2 linked regions of the Caenorhabditis elegans genome follow. The protein of the gene in region 2 interacts with the protein of the main gene of each other region in a pairwise test. Each region holds a gene or a part of one and is shown on either strand. Other genes may lie near its edges. The genes, in order: pph-4.1 and ppfr-4.

Evidence for each region.
Region 1: the proteins of ppfr-4 (region 2) and pph-4.1 interact in binary tests that used the Caenorhabditis elegans proteins (3 or more experiments, as listed by UniProt).

What each region holds. Positions count from the first base shown.
Region 1 is NC_003281.10:12,344,166-12,354,215, reverse strand, and holds pph-4.1 (Serine/threonine-protein phosphatase 4 catalytic subunit 1), read left to right. Parts: upstream 1-2,879; 5' UTR 2,880-2,885; coding exon 2,886-2,986; intron 2,987-3,041; coding exon 3,042-3,165; intron 3,166-3,223; coding exon 3,224-3,349; intron 3,350-3,424; coding exon 3,425-3,703; intron 3,704-5,594; coding exon 5,595-5,836; intron 5,837-8,521; coding exon 8,522-8,651; 3' UTR 8,652-8,893; downstream 8,894-10,050. Other genes in the region: FAM172 family protein homolog Y75B8A.31, read right to left, coding at 419-547, 1,887-2,006, 2,060-2,323, 2,392-2,568; zip-1 (BZIP domain-containing protein), read right to left, coding at 9,221-9,508. UniProt on the Caenorhabditis elegans protein: Protein phosphatase which plays an essential role in meiosis and in early embryonic mitosis.
Region 2 is NC_003281.10:2,616,750-2,624,206, reverse strand, and holds ppfr-4 (Serine/threonine-protein phosphatase 4 regulatory subunit ppfr-4), read right to left. Parts: upstream 4,272-7,457; 5' UTR 4,269-4,271; coding exon 4,077-4,268; intron 4,022-4,076; coding exon 3,598-4,021; intron 2,234-3,597; coding exon 1,866-2,233; 3' UTR 1,498-1,865; downstream 1-1,497. Other genes in the region: Y71H2B.2 (Phosphorylated adapter RNA export protein), read right to left, coding at 944-1,036; Y71H2B.4 (Lipoprotein), read right to left, coding at 4,883-5,028, 5,091-5,217; Y71H2B.5 (Aminotran_5 domain-containing protein), read right to left, coding at 5,488-5,556, 5,849-5,994, 6,048-6,124, 6,954-7,283. UniProt on the Caenorhabditis elegans protein: Probable regulatory subunit of serine/threonine-protein phosphatase PP4 which may play a role in meiosis and embryonic mitosis.

The sequences.
Region 1 (10,050 bases), 9.7 Mb from region 2:
AATTTTGCCAGTTTTTAGCTAAATTAAATTTTAAAGTGTTCAAATAATAGATAAAATAATATAAATATATATATATATTGTACGATTTTGACTGTTTCATGTCTAATTTTTGACGATGAATGGTAAATTTTACAAAGCTATTGGATCTTCGAAAATTAGTCTTGCAGCCTCTAATAGTCTTGCACCCCTACGGGTCAATTGAAAATTAGTCTTGCATGCAAGACTAATAGAGGAAATACGGTATATTATTGAAACGTGAAAACGCGCTCCACGGATAATAAGAAACGCTCCACCCACGAACCATGGGTCTCGTTAGGTTTTTGGTCGAAAAACCGGTCTGAATTCCCGATTTTTCCGCCAAATTCTTAACGAGACTTCAATTGCCCGTGGAGCGCGTTTTCTGCGTCCTTATAACTACCCCGTGAGCCAAGAAATTGACGACAAACAATGGACGTGCCCGTTGTGCACAACTTTTCGGAAATTCGAACCATGGAGAATCAGTGAGACAGATTTTCGAAATACGATCGTCTCCGCCAAACTTTTTGAGCTGAAATTTAATGAAATTATATGATTTTGGCGGGTCTCGACGCGACAAATTTTTGTTAAATAGAAAAATGTGTGCGCCTTTAAAGAGTACTGTAATTTAATTTTTCACACGATTTTTTTTCGAATAAAAATGCATTTTTAACTATTTTCCGCTGTTTTTAAATTTGAAAACAGATTTCAGGACTTTTTTCGGCAAAAAAAAAGCGAAAAAACGGGGTTTTTAAGGCAAAATTCCATGTTTTCCTCAATTTTGGGTCTCGAAGCGACAAATTTTTGTTGAATACAAAAAAGTGTGCGCCTTTAAAGAGTACTGTAGTTTTAAATTTTAGTTTCTGTGAAATTTATCGATTTTTCGTAGTTTTTCTAAATAAAAATATTTTTTAATCGAAAAAATTTAAAAAAAATCGCGAAAACTAAATTAAAAAAATTTTTTTCGATTTTTTTTCAAAAGATTAAAAAATATTTTTATTTAGAAAAACTACGAAAACTCGATAAATTTCACAGAAACAAAAATTAGAAATTACAGTAATCTTTAAAGGCGCATACCTTTTTTTCTTATTCCTTGAACACAATTTTGTCGTGGCGAGACCTGAAACAGGGGTTTTTGCCTTAAAAAATCGCGAAAATGTCGATTTTTCGCCAAAAAAAGCTGAAAATAGTTTAAAATCCCATTTTTATTCAAAAAATTCAGAAAAACAGGGATTTTCGCCTTAAAAATCCGGAAATATGTCGTTTTTTCGCTTTTTTTGCCAAAAAAAAAGCTGAAAATATATTAAAATTGCATTTTCCTTTAAAAAAATCAGAAAAACAGGGATTTTTGCCTTAAAAAATCGGAGAAAAGTCGTTTTTTCGCTCTTTTTTAGCCAAAAAAAAGCTGAAAACAGTTTAAATCCCATTTTTATTCAAAAATTCAAAAAAACAGGGTTTTTTTGCCTTAAAAAATCAAAAAAAAAGTCGATTTTTTCACTCTTTTTTGCCAAAAAAAAAGTGCTGAAAACAGTTTAAAATCGCATTTTTATCCAAAAACTCAGAAAAACAGGGTTTTATGGCTTAAAAATTCGGAAAAAGTCAATTTTTTCGTTCATTTTTAGCCAAAAAAAAGCTGAAAACAGTTTAAAATCGCATTTTTATTCAAAAATTCAGAAAAACAGGGATTTTCGCCTTAAAAATCCGGAAATATGTCGTTTTTTCGCTCTTTTTTGCCAAAAAAAAAGCTGAAAATAGATTAAAATTGCATTTTCCTTTAAAAAATTCAGAAAAACAGGGATTTTCGCCTTGAAAAATCGGAAAAACATCGATTTTTTCGCTTTTTTTTGCCAAAAAAGTGCTGAAAATCCCACCACACTGGCTGTGTCGTAACCACCACGACTGTGAGCCACCACGTAGATGCTCTTAGCATTCGATGGCTCAATACACGCTATCCAGACAGTTTCAGCGTGCTCGACAGGTGTGCGGGAGTACTGAAAATCGATTTTTCAGCGAATTTTTCGAAATTTCCCGGGTTTTTTCACACCTTCAAATCCTGATCTTTACTTTCATTCAAATTAGTGTTCATCACCACAACACCCCATCCATTTTCAATAGCTCTTTCGATATACGGAATCTGAGTTCCACACTCCAAATTATCATTGATAATGAGTCTACGAGCCCATTGTCCGGCTCTGACGACACCGCTTCCGTGGATCAATACTAGAAGATTTGCAGCTTTTTTGAAATTTTTCGACACAAAAATGAAGCTTAGATCCTCATCCTCGTCGGTTTTTCCTGGAAGTTTTAGCTGAAAAAAAATTTTTTTTTTTGATTTTTAAATTTTTTTTTCCATTTTTTAAAAATTTCTTAATTTACCGCCTTTCTCTTCAGCCCACAACGTGTCTCCAGAAGCTCATAAACTTCCAGATCAACTGCTTCTCCCAGTTCTTCATAATCCTCCTGTGTAGTGAATTTGAAGGGTTTTTTGTCCTTCTCCGTTTTCAGCACGCCTTTTTCGTCGAAAAAGTACCCGAGTTTCGCCAAACTTGACATTGTTCACTGAAATTTATTTGAATTATTCGCAAAAAAACTGGTTAGAACAGAGAAAATTTCCGAAAAAACAATTTTTAAAATTAAAAAAAAAAAAAAATTTCCTGGCCGCGACCGAGGTTTCTCTCGTCCACACGGCGCAATCGCGCTCTGTTGGCAATCTGGCACAATGCCAATATTACACTGAATTTATATTTTTGCACGAAAAACTCTGGATTTAAAGTCGATTTCGCCTGTTTTCATTGGTTTTTTTCGTTTTTTCGTTTTTAAATTAAATATTAATTCAAAAAATCGATTTACAACGTATTTTACAGCTTTTAATGGCTCTGGCGTGCACCGACTCTGCAAATTCCACATTTTCACGTGTCGACTCACCGACTTCCGGCCCATCGGACCAGCTAACAACTCATGACTTGGATCGGTAGCAGTTTTGATATAAAAACAATAAAATATCAACAAAAAAAAAATATTTTCAGCCACATAGAAAAGCTGATGAGATGTGAGCTCATCGCGGAGCAAGATGTCAAAACACTTTGCGCAAAAGCTCGTGAAATCCTAGCGGAAGAGGGCAACGTCCAGGTTATCGATTCTCCGGTGACGGTTGGTTGGATAAAATCGATTTTTAAATCAAAATTTCCATTTTAAATTCTATTTCCAGATCTGCGGAGACATCCACGGCCAGTTCTACGATTTAATGGAGCTCTTCAAAGTCGGCGGACCAGTGCCGAACACCAACTATTTGTTCCTCGGAGATTTCGTGGATCGAGGCTTCTATTCTGTGGAGGTGCCCCCGCTTTTTTGCAATTTTCCTGGCGAAAAAATTGCAAAAAAAACTCCCAAAAAATCGATATTTTTCCAGACATTCCTTCTACTTCTCGCACTGAAAGCTCGCTATCCGGATCGAATGATGTTGATCCGTGGAAATCACGAAAGTCGCCAGATTACTCAAGTCTACGGGTTCTATGATGAATGCCTTCGGAAATATGGAAATGCGTCTGTTTGGAAACATTGTACCGAAGTTTTCGACTACTTATCACTTGCCGCTGTAATTGATGGGAAGGTTTTCTGTGTTCATGGTGGATTATCCCCGTCGATTAGTACTATGGATCAGATTCGTGTTATTGATCGGAAGCAGGAGGTAAAACGCAAAAAATATGCTGTTTTTAATGGAATTTTGCTTTGAATTTCGGTTAAAATTCGGTGAATTACAATTTTTTAAATTTCCGGCATTTTGCCGAATTTGCCGGAAAGTTTTAAAATTTTCGAAAATGAAAATAACCGACAAATCTGCAAATTGCCGGAATTTAAAAATTTCCGGCAAATCAGCAAACCGGCAAATTTGCCCAAAATGAAAATAACCGGCAAATCGACAAATTGCCGGAATTAAAAATTTCTGGCAAATCGACAAACTGCCGTAATGAAACTTTCTGGCAAATCGACAAATTGCCGAAAATGAAAATAACCGGCAAATCGACAAATTGCCGGAATTAAAATTTTCTGGCAAATCGGCAAATGTTCGAATTAAAAAATTTGTGGCAAATTGGCGAAATTGAAAATTTCCGGCAAATCGAAAAATTGCCGGAATTAAAAAATTCCGGCAAATCGGCAAATTGCCGTAATTAAAAATTTCTGGCAAATCGGAAAATTGCCATGTTTAAAAATTTTCGGCAAATCGGAAAATTGCCGAAATTGAAAATTTCCGGCAATTCGTCAAATTGCCGGAATTTAAAAATTTCCGGCAAGTCGGAAATTTGCCGAATTCGCCGGAAAAACGGCAAATTGCCGGAATTAAAAATTTCCGGCAAATCGGCAAATTGCTGGAATTGATAATTTCCGGCAAATCGGCAAATTGCTGGAATTGATAATTTCCGGCAAATCGGCAAATTGCCGGAATTTAAAAATTTCCGGCAAGTCGGAAATTTGCCGAATTCGCCGGAAAAACGGCAAATTGCCGGAATTAAAAATTTCCGGCAAATCGACAAACTGCCGAAAATGAAAATTTCTGGCAAATCGGCAAATTGCTGGAATTGATAATTTCCGGCAAATTTCCGGAATTAAGATTTTCTGGCAAATCGGCAATTTGTCGATCATGAAAATAACCGTCAAATCGACAAATTTCCGGAATTAAAATTTTCTGGCAAATCGGCAAATTGCCGAAAATGAAAATAACCAGAAAATCGGCAAATTTCCGAAAATTTCCGTTTAAAAAAAAATTTCCGTTTTTTTCATTAAAAATTTTTTTTTTTAATTTTCAGACTTTTTTCTAATTTTTTCTCATCAAAATCGACCAATTTAATTTTTATTTCATTTATTTCGATTTTTTCCCCGAAAAATACTAAAAAATTCAAAAAATAGTCTCAAAATCAGAAAAAAACCACAAAAACGCGATTTTTGTCTTCAACCAATCAGCGATTCGCTCCGCCCACTTTTCAACCAATCAGATGGAGTGGGCGGAGTTTGAGTTCTCATTTTGGAGGGAATTCAAAATTGAAAAATCTTTTTATTTTTCTGAATTTGATACTATTTCGGATATTTTGAAGCGAAATTTCAAAATTTACGTTAAATTTTTCGAGAAATCACTTTTTTCCAGCGGGGCGAAGGTTTTGCAAGTCTGCGGTTTGCTATATTTCGATTTACGGAGAATTTTGTAATACACACGGACAAGCGTCGATTAATTTTTTAATTTTTTCTAATAGTAAATTTACAGTTTTGGGCCATTTTTGCCAATTTTTTTTGGTGTTCAACATTAAAAATTGGGTCCATATATATATATTTTTTGAATAGTGTTTACAAAAAAAATTACAGAACTGAAGAACAATTCGAAAAAAAAAAAAAAACGCTTATCCACGTGTAGCACAAACTCCACCGTAAATCGACAGAAATCAAACCGCGCCGCAGGTTTGCAAAACCACCGTTCCGCCTCAAAAATTGAAAAAAAAATCAATTTTTTAATCAAATTTTGTTCGTTTTGATAGAAAAACGTATAAATTTGTGCTAAAAAAGCGAAAAAAAATTCTGAAAATTTCCAGGTTCCCCACGACGGTCCAATGTGTGATCTACTGTGGTCGGACCCCGAAGAAGGAAATGTTGGATGGGGCCTAAGTCCACGCGGAGCCGGTTATCTATTCGGAGCGGACGCGTCGAAAACGTTTTGCGAAACGAACGGAGTCGATTTGATCTGTAGAGCTCATCAATTGGTTATGGAAGGATATAAATGGCATTTCAACGAGAAAGTGCTCACTGTTTGGTCGGCGCCCAACTATTGTTATCGGTACGGGATGGATTTGGAAAAAAAACGGAAATTTTTTTTTCGTGAAAAAGACGAAAAATTAAAATTTTTGGTCACTTTTTTATCATTTAAAGTATAATTTTTAGGAAAAAATACAATTTTTTTCTGAAAATTTGAATTTTCCCGCTAAAATTTGTTTCCAAAAAATTTAAATTTTCCCGCCAAAATTTGATTCCAAAAAAATTCAAATTTTCCGGCCAAAATTTGTTTCCAAAAAATTTGAATTTTCCCGCCAAAATTTGTTTCCAAAAAATTTGAATTTTCCCGCCAAAATTTGTTTCCAAAAAATTTGAATTTTCCGGCCAAAATTTGTTTCCAAAAAATTTGAATTTTCCCGTCAAAATATGTTTTTAAAAGAAAATTTAAATTTTCCCGCCAAAATTTGTTTCCAGAAAATTTGAATTTTCCCGCCAAAATTTGTTTCCAAAAAATTTAAATTTTCCCGCCAAAATTTGTTTCCAAAAAATTTGAATTTTCCCGCCAAAATTTGTTTCCAAAAAATTTGAATTTTCCGGCCAAAATTTGTTTCCAAAAAATTTGAATTTTCCCGTCAAAATATGTTTTTAAAAGAAAATTTAAATTTTCCCGCCAAAATTTGTTTCCAGAAAATTTGAATTTTCCCGCCAAAATTTGTTTCCAGAAAATTTAAATTTTCCCGCCAAAATTTGTTTCCAGAAAATTTGAATTTTCCCGCCAAAATTTGATTCCAGAAAATTTGAATTTTCCCGCCAAAATTTGTTTCCAAAAAATTTGAATTTTCCCGCCAAAATTTGTTTCCAAAAAATTTGAATTTTCCCGCCAAAATTTGTTTCCAAAAAATTTGAATTTTCCCGCCAAAATTTGTTTCCAAAAAATTTGAATTTTCCCGCCAAAATTTGTTTCCAAAAAAATTTACACTTCCCGCCAAAATTTGTTTCCAAAAAATTTGAATTTTCCCGTCAAAATATGTTTTTAAAAGAAAATTTAAATTTTCCCGCCAAAATTTGTTTCCAGAAAATTTGAATTTTCCCGCCAAAATTTGTTTCCAAAAAATTTGAATTTTCCCGCCAAAATTTGTTTCCAAAAAATTTGAATTTTCCCGTCAAAATATGTTTTTAAAAGAAAATTTAAATTTTCCCGCCAAAATTTGTTTCCAAAAAATTCAAATTTTCCCGCCAAAATTTGTTTCCAAAAAATTTGAATTTTCCGGCCAAAATTTGTTTCCAAAAAATTTGAATTTTCCCGTCAAAATATGTTTTTAAAAGAAAATTTAAATTTTCCCGCCAAAATTTGTTTCCAGAAAATTTGAATTTTCCCGCCAAAATTTGTTTCCAAAAAATTTGAATTTTCCCGTCAAAATATGTTTTTAAAAGAAAATTTAAATTTTCCCGCCAAAATTTGTTTCCAAAAAATTTAAATTTTCCCGCCAAAATTTGTTTCCAGAAAATTTGAATTTTCCCGCCAAAATTTGTTTCCAAAAAATTTGAATTTTCCCGCCAAAATTTGTTTCCAAAAAATTTGAATTTTCCCGTCAAAATATGTTTTTAAAAGAAAATTTAAATTTTCCCGCCAAAATTTGTTTCCAGAAAATTTGAATTTTCCCGCCAAAATTTGATTCCAGAAAATTTGAATTTTCCCGCCAAAATTTGTTTCCAGAAAATTTGAATTTTCCCGCCAAAATTTGTTTCCAAAAAATTTGAATTTTCCCGCCAAAATTTGTTTCCAAAAAATTTGAATTTTCCCGTCAAAATATGTTTTTAAAAGAAAATTTAAATTTTCCCGCCAAAATTTGTTTCCAAAAAATTCAAATTTTCCGGCCAAAATTTGTTTCCAAAAAATTTGAATTTTCCCGCCAAAATTTGTTTCCAAAAAATTTGAATTTTCCGGCCAAAATTTGTTTCCAAAAAATTTGAATTTTCCCGTCAAAATATGTTTTTAAAAGAAAATTTAAATTTTCCCGCCAAAATTTGTTTCCAGAAAATTTGAATTTTCCCGCCAAAATTTGATTCCAGAAAATTTGAATTTTCCCGCCAAAATTTGTTTCCAAAAAATTTGAATTTTCCCGCCAAAATTTGTTTCCAAAAAATTTGAATTTTCCCGCCAAAATTTGTTTCCAAAAAATTTGAATTTTCCCGCCAAAATTTGTTTCCAAAAAAATTTAAACTTCCCGCCAAAATTTGTTTCCAAAAAATTTGAATTTTCCCGTCAAAATATGTTTTTAAAAGAAAATTTAAATTTTCCCGCCAAAATTTGTTTCCAGAAAATTTGAATTTTCCCGCCAAAATTTGATTCCAGAAAATTTGAATTTTCCCGCCAAAATTTGTTTCCAAAAAATTTGAATTTTCCCGCCAAACTTTGTTCCCAAAAAATTTGAATTTTCCCGCCAAAATTTGTTTCCAAAAAATTTAAATTTTCCCGCCAAAATTTGTTTCCAGAAAATTTAAAATTTTCCCGCCAAAATCACGTAGTGCCAGAGTGTCCCATTTCGGTTTGATCTACAAAAATGCGGGAGAAGTGACGCACTGATTTTGCATGATTAAGAACGTGTTGACGTCACATTTTTTGGACAAAAAAATCCCGCATTTTTTGTAGATCAAACCCAAAAATTTGTTTCAAAAGAAAAATTGAATTTCCCGGAAAACTTGAGCTTTTTTTGCAGTAAAAAAAAACTTAATGAAAATTTTCCAGATGCGGCAACGTGGCGGCAATTCTCGAGCTCGACGAGAATCTCAACAAGGAATTCACAATTTTCGAAGCTGCTCCACAAGAAAATCGCGGAGCACCGGCCAAAAAACCGCACGCCGACTATTTCCTCTAATTTTTTCTCGAAATTTTCTCGAAATTTCTTTCTCGCCCAAAAATTCCGAAGAATCTCCCCCTTTTATATCGCCGAAACACCATTTTTTTCCTTTTTTTTTTGCTCCCACAAAAATATTTCAATATTTAATTATTATTTTCCACACACACACACACATTTTTCTGTAAATGTCCACCCCCCTCCAAATTTTACGGATTTATTTTTTTTTCGACAAAAAAAAGTATTAAAATTTATTTCATGCTATTCATTTTTAAAACCGATTTGATTTGAAACAAAAAAAAACAATTAACCGTATTTGGGGAGTGAGAAATGGGAAAAAAATAAAACATGAAAATGGAATTTTTCACAGAAAAAATCGAAGTAAAATACAATTGATTGGATAAAATGGGAAAGCTGCGACCAATCAGGTGGAGTGGGCGGAGTGGGCGGAGTTCAAAGTCGCTGATTGGTCGGTGAGAAATTGAGAAAAAAATGGATTTTTGAAGCTTTAAATATAACATTTTGGATAAAAATAACTAGTTTTCAAAGATTTTTTAATTTTTTAATATTTTTTTCGCTCAAAAAATCCTTCAGCTTGGCTCAAATTGCTGGAAATTCTCATCAAAAGCCTGCTGCTCGGCAAGCTTGGCACCATCCATGTATCGGTTCAGTTCTCTTGTGATTTGATTGAGTACCACTTTAATCGCATTCGCCTCCCTCAGCTCAACCTCCTCCTTTTTGAGATTCAACTGATGGTCGGCGATCTCGAAAGCCGTCTTCGCACGGGATTTTTTCGAAGCAAACGTATTTTGAGGTAGTCCTGCGATTTTTTTGACACTCGTGTATTGTCCGTAGTCCTGTTCGGTTTTGTTGAAGGCCTGAAAATGTTGAGAATTGGGGAAAAAATTTGATTTTTCACAAAAAAAAAATTTTTTTAAAGTTTTTTTGCCAGTTTTTCTTATGTTTTTTATCACGGATTTCTGGTTTCCCTCCATAAATTGAAATGGAAGAGTTTTTGCCGAATTAGGCCAGGCCATATCTGGGGTAGATTTACGGCGCGCGTTGCGTGTCGCGTCGCGGCTCGATTGTAAAACTAAATGTATTTGTCCGTGTGGAGTACACGTTGTCCGGCGGGGGTGATTGTCAATGGAGCGCGAAAAAATCAATGAGGAAGGCCAGAAGCCCGTGAAAAAGAAAAAATTTAAAAAAAAACTATATTTGATAGTGTTTTTGGATTTTTTGTTTAGTTTAAATTTTTACTTTTTTTTTGTTGCTATTTTGCCAGTTTTTCTTATGTTTTTTATTATCAAAAATCGATAAAAATTGGATTGTTTTGTTTTTTTTACATTTTTTTCGATTTTTCAAAAAAAAAAAGCCTTAAAATTTTGGCAATTTTTCATATTTTTAGAAAAAAAAACTG
Region 2 (7,457 bases):
TTACAATTTTCGGGTATTTTTCTTTGTTTCAAAAAATTATATTAATCGTATTTTCTATTTAAAAAATGAAATTAATTTTTTTCCGATTTTTTAATTAATAAATTGATAATTTCTGATTTAGCTTTAAAAAAAATCAAATTTTCGGTCTATTTTCTTAATTTTTGAGAGAAACTTAAGCTTTGAAAATTTGAAAATAATTTTTTCAAAGTAGAAATTTCTCTCAAAAAAATTAGAAAATAGACCGAAAATTAGATTTTTGATTATTTTTAACACTAAATCAAAATTATCAATTTATTAATTAAAACATTGAGAAAAAAATAATTAAAACCGGTTTTTTTTAATAGAATGTTTTTTTATTTTACTCTTCAGTTCCTGTTATTTGTATAACTCTTTTTTTCAGTTTTTTTTTGAGTGAAATTCAATAAAGCTAGTTTTTAAGCGCTTTTTTCGAATTTTTTCAAGTTTTTAATCGAAAAATCGCCAAAAAAATTGAGGAAAATTGCTAAAATTTTATCGGAAATACATTTTTTAAGAAAAATCTTTTTTTTTTTCAAAAAATTGAGTAAGAATGTAAAAAATGGATATTTTCTCAGAATTTTGAAGACAAAAGTAGCTTTTTGCCGATTTTTCGATTAAAAATTGAAAAAAAAAAGTTTTGATTTTTTCTGAAAAGAAACTGTTCTAAAAAATTTTTATTTTCTGAAAAATCCGAAAAAAGTGCTTAAAATCTTGTTTTATTGAATTTTTTACAAAAAAGTTTCAAAATTTCGTCAAAAATAGTTTTTTTTAAGAGAAAATCCGAATTGTGAAACTTTTTCTTGATTTTTTCGGTTTTTTTTTAATCAAAAATCGAAATTTGTTACGAAAATGGTTAGTTTTTGCCAATTTTTTCATTTTCAAGGTAGAAAATCCCCGATTTTCAGCCAAAAATCGTGCTCCTTACAGCTTTCAGATCCTCATCTTCATCTTTATTGATCGGAAGTCTCTCTTCATCGGAATCTCCTTCCGAATCGTGACGACGCTTACGGAATGCCATTCTGAAATTTTTTTTTTCTGAAAATCTGAAAAATATTTTGGAACTTATGTATAAAAAAGGTAAAAACCCTTTAAAAATGCAAAAAAAAATATAATAAAATATAATTATTTACAGTTTCACATTTATTCGAAACGAAAATAAGACGCCGTATAAAAATGTCGATTTACGCGGCTCGTGAACTCCCCGAAGTGAAGGGAACTTTTTTTTGGAAAAATCCGATTTTTTTTTTGAAAAAAACTCTTGCTAAAATCCGCAATTTTTATGGAAAATTTTGAGAATTTTCAGGAAATTCGGCGAATTTTTTTTTGAGACTTCTTAGTGAAAAATCCTCAATTTTTTGAATTTTCCCAAAAAAAAACCAGTGATTTTTGAGAATTTCAAAGAGAACACCGCGGTTTTATTGAATTTTTTCAGAATTTTCAAAAAAACGCAAATTTTCAAGTTTTTTGAAAGAAATATCTGAAATATCTCTATTTGAATAATTTATTTTTCAAAATTTTCGAAAAACCTGGAATTTTTTGAAATTTCCAGAAAACCGCAATTTTATTGATTTTTTTCTAGAAAAATATCGTAAAAAACGGATAATTGCAGATTTTCGCGGAAAAAATTTTCAATAATTTTATCAAAAAATTTTTTCCCATAAAAACTGCAATTTTTTTTTAATTCTCAAAATAATCCGCCGAAAATTGCCAATTCTGCAATTTTTCCATTCAAAAAATGCAGATTTTTCAAAATTTTTCGCCTTCTCCTCGTGAAGTACACAAGCCGCGTAAATCGACACATGCGGGAGCTAGGAATCCCGCGTAAAAGTAGAGATCTACAATATAATTTATCCTTTATTGTGCATATTTCCCCATCCACGTCGATGATCATCCTTATATTCATCCCAACGCATCGCCTTCGCTCTCGCCTCGTCATCATCAACCTCTTCTTCGGATTCTTGAGCTTCTGCCCCGGCTGGAGCCGACGATTGTGGAGCATTTTGTGGATTATGACCGAATTTCTGATGATACCATTCATCGACACTCATCGCTGGAATTCCTGGATATCCGAGCCCAAAGACCTGCTTCTGTTGAGCATCTCTGGTAATAATGAAGGGTTTAAGTGTTGGAACTGTCTTTGTTGCTGGTGGTGGAGCTGGATGACGATGTGGGTGAGATGCTCGTTCAGCCATCATTTTCAGCAGTGGAAGCTCGTCTGAAAATTGTTTTCCGTTTTTAAAAACGTCGCTTTCTGCTCTAAAAGGCTTAAAAGGCTTGGCCATGAAGAACTGAAAATTATTCAAAACTCGAAAAATTCAATTTTTCAGGGTCATTTTGAGGCTCTAAAAACTATTAAAAAACTTTTTTACTGACAGAAAATTAAAAAATTTGCAAAAAATAAAAATAATAATTAACTTATTATTTAAATTTTTTTTATTTTTTTGTTTAAAAAAATTTCGAATTTTCAATTATTCAAAAATTGGAAAAAAATTAGACAATTAACAGGAAAATTCATTTCTTTTATCAAATGTGGTTTATTTTGATTTGAAAAATCAGAAAATATATAGTTTTCTTCTACAAACAAAAAAATGACCAAAATACGACCAAATCGGAGATTTTAGCTAAATTTTGGACTTTTTTCTTGTTTGTAGAAAAAAAATGATATATTTTCTGAAGTTTTTCATCAAAATAAATTTTTTTTTCGATTTTTGAATAATTAATTTTTTTAATTCAAAAATCGAAAAAAAAATTTAGATTTATTTTGATGAAAAACTTTAGAAAATATATCTTTTTTTTCTACAAACAAGAAAAAAGTCCAAAATTTAGCGGAAATCTCCGATTTGGTCGTGATTTGATCATTTTTTTGTTTGTAGAAGAAAACTATATATTTTCTGATTTTTCAAATCAAAATAAACCAGATTTGATAAAAGAAATGAATTTTCCTGTTAATTGTCTAATTTTTTTCCAATTTTTGAATAATTGAAAATTCGAAATTTTTTTTACAACTTTCTAATTTTAAAGGAGTTTTGCAAAAATTTAAAAAATGAGTTAATTATTATTTTTCCTTTTTTTGCTTTTTTTTTAATTGTCTGTGGGTAAAAACGAATTTTATAGCTCTTAGAGCCTCAAAATGACCCTGAAAATTGAATTTTTCGATTTTTTAAAATAATAGTTTAAAAAAATTACAAAAAATCTTTAAAAAGCAGCGTCGCACAGAAAAATAGTTTTTTTCTCGAATAAAAGATCATAATTTGAACATATTTGCTGTTTTTCTGTGTTTTGGTTACCATTCGTCTGGAAACATCGTTAAATTAATGAAAAAATGTGCGAAATCCGGAAGTTTAGCTAAATTTAGCCATTTTTCTCCTTATTTTCCATGAAATTCGGCATTTCGAAGCCATTTTGAGCATTTTTAGAGCAACAAAACGATTTTTCAAGCAAAAATTCCAGTTTTCTTCGAGTTCTCAGAAAAAAAATATGATAACATTGCGTTTTTCTGCCAGAAAATCACATTAATTCCGATTTTTCGTGATTTTTAAAAATAATTTTTCCATGGAAACTAGGCGATATTCTACACACCATCAATCGCCTGCAACTCCTCGTAACATCTTTCACTCCAGAACAATAACTGAGTAATATAGAGCTCTCTGAGATTCTGCTCATCAATTGAAACGGCTTCCAGCTGCTTTTGGATCCTGAGCTCCGCCATTTTGAGCTCTTGCTTCTTCTTGTGACGCTCCAACTTCAATCTTCTGATCTCTTCAACTGCAAGCTTCGGCTTCTCCTTTAAATTTTGCTCTTCTGTATCCTCATCTTCCCATGGTAATCTGGTGGTGATCAGGCACAAATCTCGGAGGCGATCCAGAAAATTTCGCATATAAATTTTGGATTTTCTCAGTTCGTCGAGCTTCAGGCCGGGCTCAGTCATCAAATTTTGGTGGAGAATTCCCAAAAAACATGGGACAAGGAGATAGGGCAGCGAGTTTGTTGGAACGTCTTCAATCTGAAAAAAAATCATTTAATTTCAGAAATAATCTTTTTTTTTTTCGATAAAAAACCTGCTCATTCGACGAAAACAATCTCATCTGATTCACAAGCTTCGTGACCAACTGGAGATTATCAATTCCCGTTTTGATGCGAGGTTGGAGCTCCGGGGTGGAAAAAATCCCATCTTCAATATCGCCGATCACCTTTTTGCTCGGATCGTAAAGCGCTTGCAAGGAAATTTCTTCATCTGATAGCTCTGACATGCTCTGAAATTTAAATAATCAATTTTTAATTGAACAAACGAGGAAAAATTCAGGTTTCGCAGAGAAAACCCGTTTTCAGTGAGCGAAAATTTTTCAATAAACAAAACGAAAATAGAAAACACCCGATTTGACGACACTTGTGCAAACACCCTCACGCAATATTGCACAGATTTCTGAAAAAACAATTTTTTGTTTTTTTCTGGAACACATTTTACAACTTTTCAGACGGAATTTTCGGTTTTTTATCGAAATTTATGGAGAAAACGTTCAAAAAAACTCAAATTTGCTTGTTTTTAAAGGGTTTTTATGGGAAATCGTGTCATTTTTCCTTTAACAACGGAAAAACAATTCAAACACTGTCAAAATGACCAAAAATCATATTTAATAAAACGTTCAAAATGTTTCGGAAAACGCTTTATTTCGAGTCAAAAAGTGGAGAAACTCGTTTTTTTGAAAGTCTTCGATTATGGCCGCAGAGGCTCAAAAAGTGGCGCAAAATCACTTTTCCCGCGCGAAATTTGAAAAATTATCTCAAAAAAGAAGAAAATCGCCGAAAATTTAGTCTAAAAAATTGGCTTTATTGGAAAAAAATTAAAACATCAAAATCCAATTATTTAATAGACTTTATCGTTCTTGAGCAGCTTCTCCGGGAAGCATCTCTTGAGGCACTCAACAGTGAAGCAGCAGACATCATCCTTCGGGAATTCCTTGTACGAGCAGTTGTTCTTCATGGCACAGCACGCGGATTTGTAGGTGCTATCTGAAATTAATTATGAATCTTTTGAAACAAAACACAAAAAATCAATAAATAAAAAAACTTACAATCCTCAACAGTGCATGGGGATTGCTCCAAGCCGTAACGGCAGAACATATTCATATATTTATCGAAATTCTTGCATGACGAGGCGAAGGAAACGAGGAGAACGAGGAAAATCAAGGCGATCCGCATTCCGGCGGCAGACTGGCTCGGAGCTTTGGAGCTTTGGAGCTTGAGAGCTTTGAGCCGGCTTCCGATGGAACAGCTGACTAACTTTTTACTCACTTTTTCATCAATGTGTCAGTTGTCGGTTTTATTTTTGAAAGTTTTTATTCAACAAACCAAAACATCAAAAAAACATTCAAACGCTCAAGGACGAATTACGATTAACATTTAACAACAAGAAAAATATTTAAATATTTTTTTTAATAGGAAAATTTTAATTTTTATAGGAAAAATTCCCTATGACATTTCCTTCACAATATTATGCACCGCCTGGCTCCGCATCACGCTGGTGTGCGCCGAATCAACCTGGAAAACATTTATTAGATTTGAAAAAAAGAGCTCAAGGGGGCTCAGAGTCCCTCTTATATTTAAATGGAAGAGTTTTCAGCTTGGGAAGCTCGGCCGCGACGCAGCTGCATGCGGAGCGGCTCAGACGAACACATTGATTTTATCATTTTCTGGTAGAAAAAAAAACAGAATCAACGTTTTTGCCTGAGCCGCTCCGCGCGCTGCTGCGTCGCGGCCGAGCTTCCCAAAACTCTGCCATTTCAAGGGACATCCCGCGTTACTAGAGCTTGAAAACCCATAAATCACCCACCAAAAGCAGTGGTTTCAGAGCAGATCTCAGTGAATTAAACAAGTCGGGGAAGATGAGCTCCTGCTGAGCCAGGAGCTGCTTGACACGGTGACGTTCGGTGGCCTGGTTGAAGCATGCCGGGCAGTTTTCCGCGACAACTGGGAGTTCTGGAAAATTATTTATTTGGAGATAAATTCAAAAAAAAAATCGCTGAAAATACTTTTATCCTCGGCGAAATTTCGTAGAGCCTTCTCGCGAACCATCACCAGCGGTCGAATGACTCGAAGAGCTCCGTCTCTGGAAAAAAATTGAAATTCCTTTTGAAATCGACGTGAAAACGCGCTCCACGGACAATTGGTAACGCTCCGCCCCCAACAGTTGGGTCTCGTTAGGAAAATTTTCAATTTTCCATCGATTTTATTGATTTTTTCGTCGAACTTATGTTATTTTATAAATTTCGGCATAAAAATTTATTAAACTAATGAAAAACGTGACAAAAACATTTGAATTTAAAGTTTTGTCTACAAATACCTAACGAGACCCGCCTGTTGGGGGCGGAGCGTATTTTTCTGGAAAATATACGATTTTTCAGTGTTTTCCAGGAAAGATCAAGTTATTTTCCCAATTTTTTGTTTTTTTGAACACGGTAGTCATTACTGTAGTTTTCGCTGCGAGATATTCTGCACAACACATTTGACGCGTAAAATATCTCGCAGCGAAAACTACAGTAATCACTACTGTAAGTGTGGATTTACGAGCTGCCGCCAAGCCCCGTAAATCGACACCTACAGTAGTCATTACTGTAGTTTTCGCTGCGAGATATTTTGCGCGTCAAATGTGTTGTGCAATACGCATTCTCAGGATTTTGAGTTCAAAACATTTGGAAAATATTTCGATTTTATCGTAAATTTTCCATAAAAATCCGCCCCCAAGAGTCGGGTCTCGTTAGGTATTTGGTGGCAAATCAATCTTTTTTCATTTTCGGTGAATTTTTGAAAGGAAAATCTTAAACATCGACTGATTTTTGGTGTTTCTACCTGAAAAACAACGAAATTTAGATTAATTTCAGGATTTTCGTCTCAAAAAACTCGAACAAAAATCGATTTTTCTAATTTTCAGTACTAACTTCGTCGTATACTGAGCCTTCATCGTGCTCAAATTTCCATTCTGAAAAGCGGCAATGAAGAAGCTTTCAGCAAGATCATCCAAATGTTGTCCCATCGCCAGAACATTCCATCCGTGTAATTGTGCGGCGGCGGCGAGTCGGCCACGCTTCATTCGACTACAAAACGCGCAAATCGATCGGAGTCCGGGCGTTTTTCGGGCGGCTCCAATAATATCCTGCTCTTCGTAGAAATAATCAATATTGAGCCGTCGACAATACTCGATTAATGGGCGTGGATTGTATTCTGCAGATCCTGGATCAACGGTGATTGCACCGAGTTCGAAGGAGGTGCTGGAAATATGAATTTTTTTTCAAAAATTTCCGACGAAAAATGACAATTTTCGCCATATTCTGAGCACATGGGTCTCGCCACGAGCTACAGTAACTCGTGTCGATTTACGGGTGCGCTGAAATAAGGCTCCGCCCCCGAGCCAAGGGTCTCGTTAGGTTCTACATTGTTTTTGA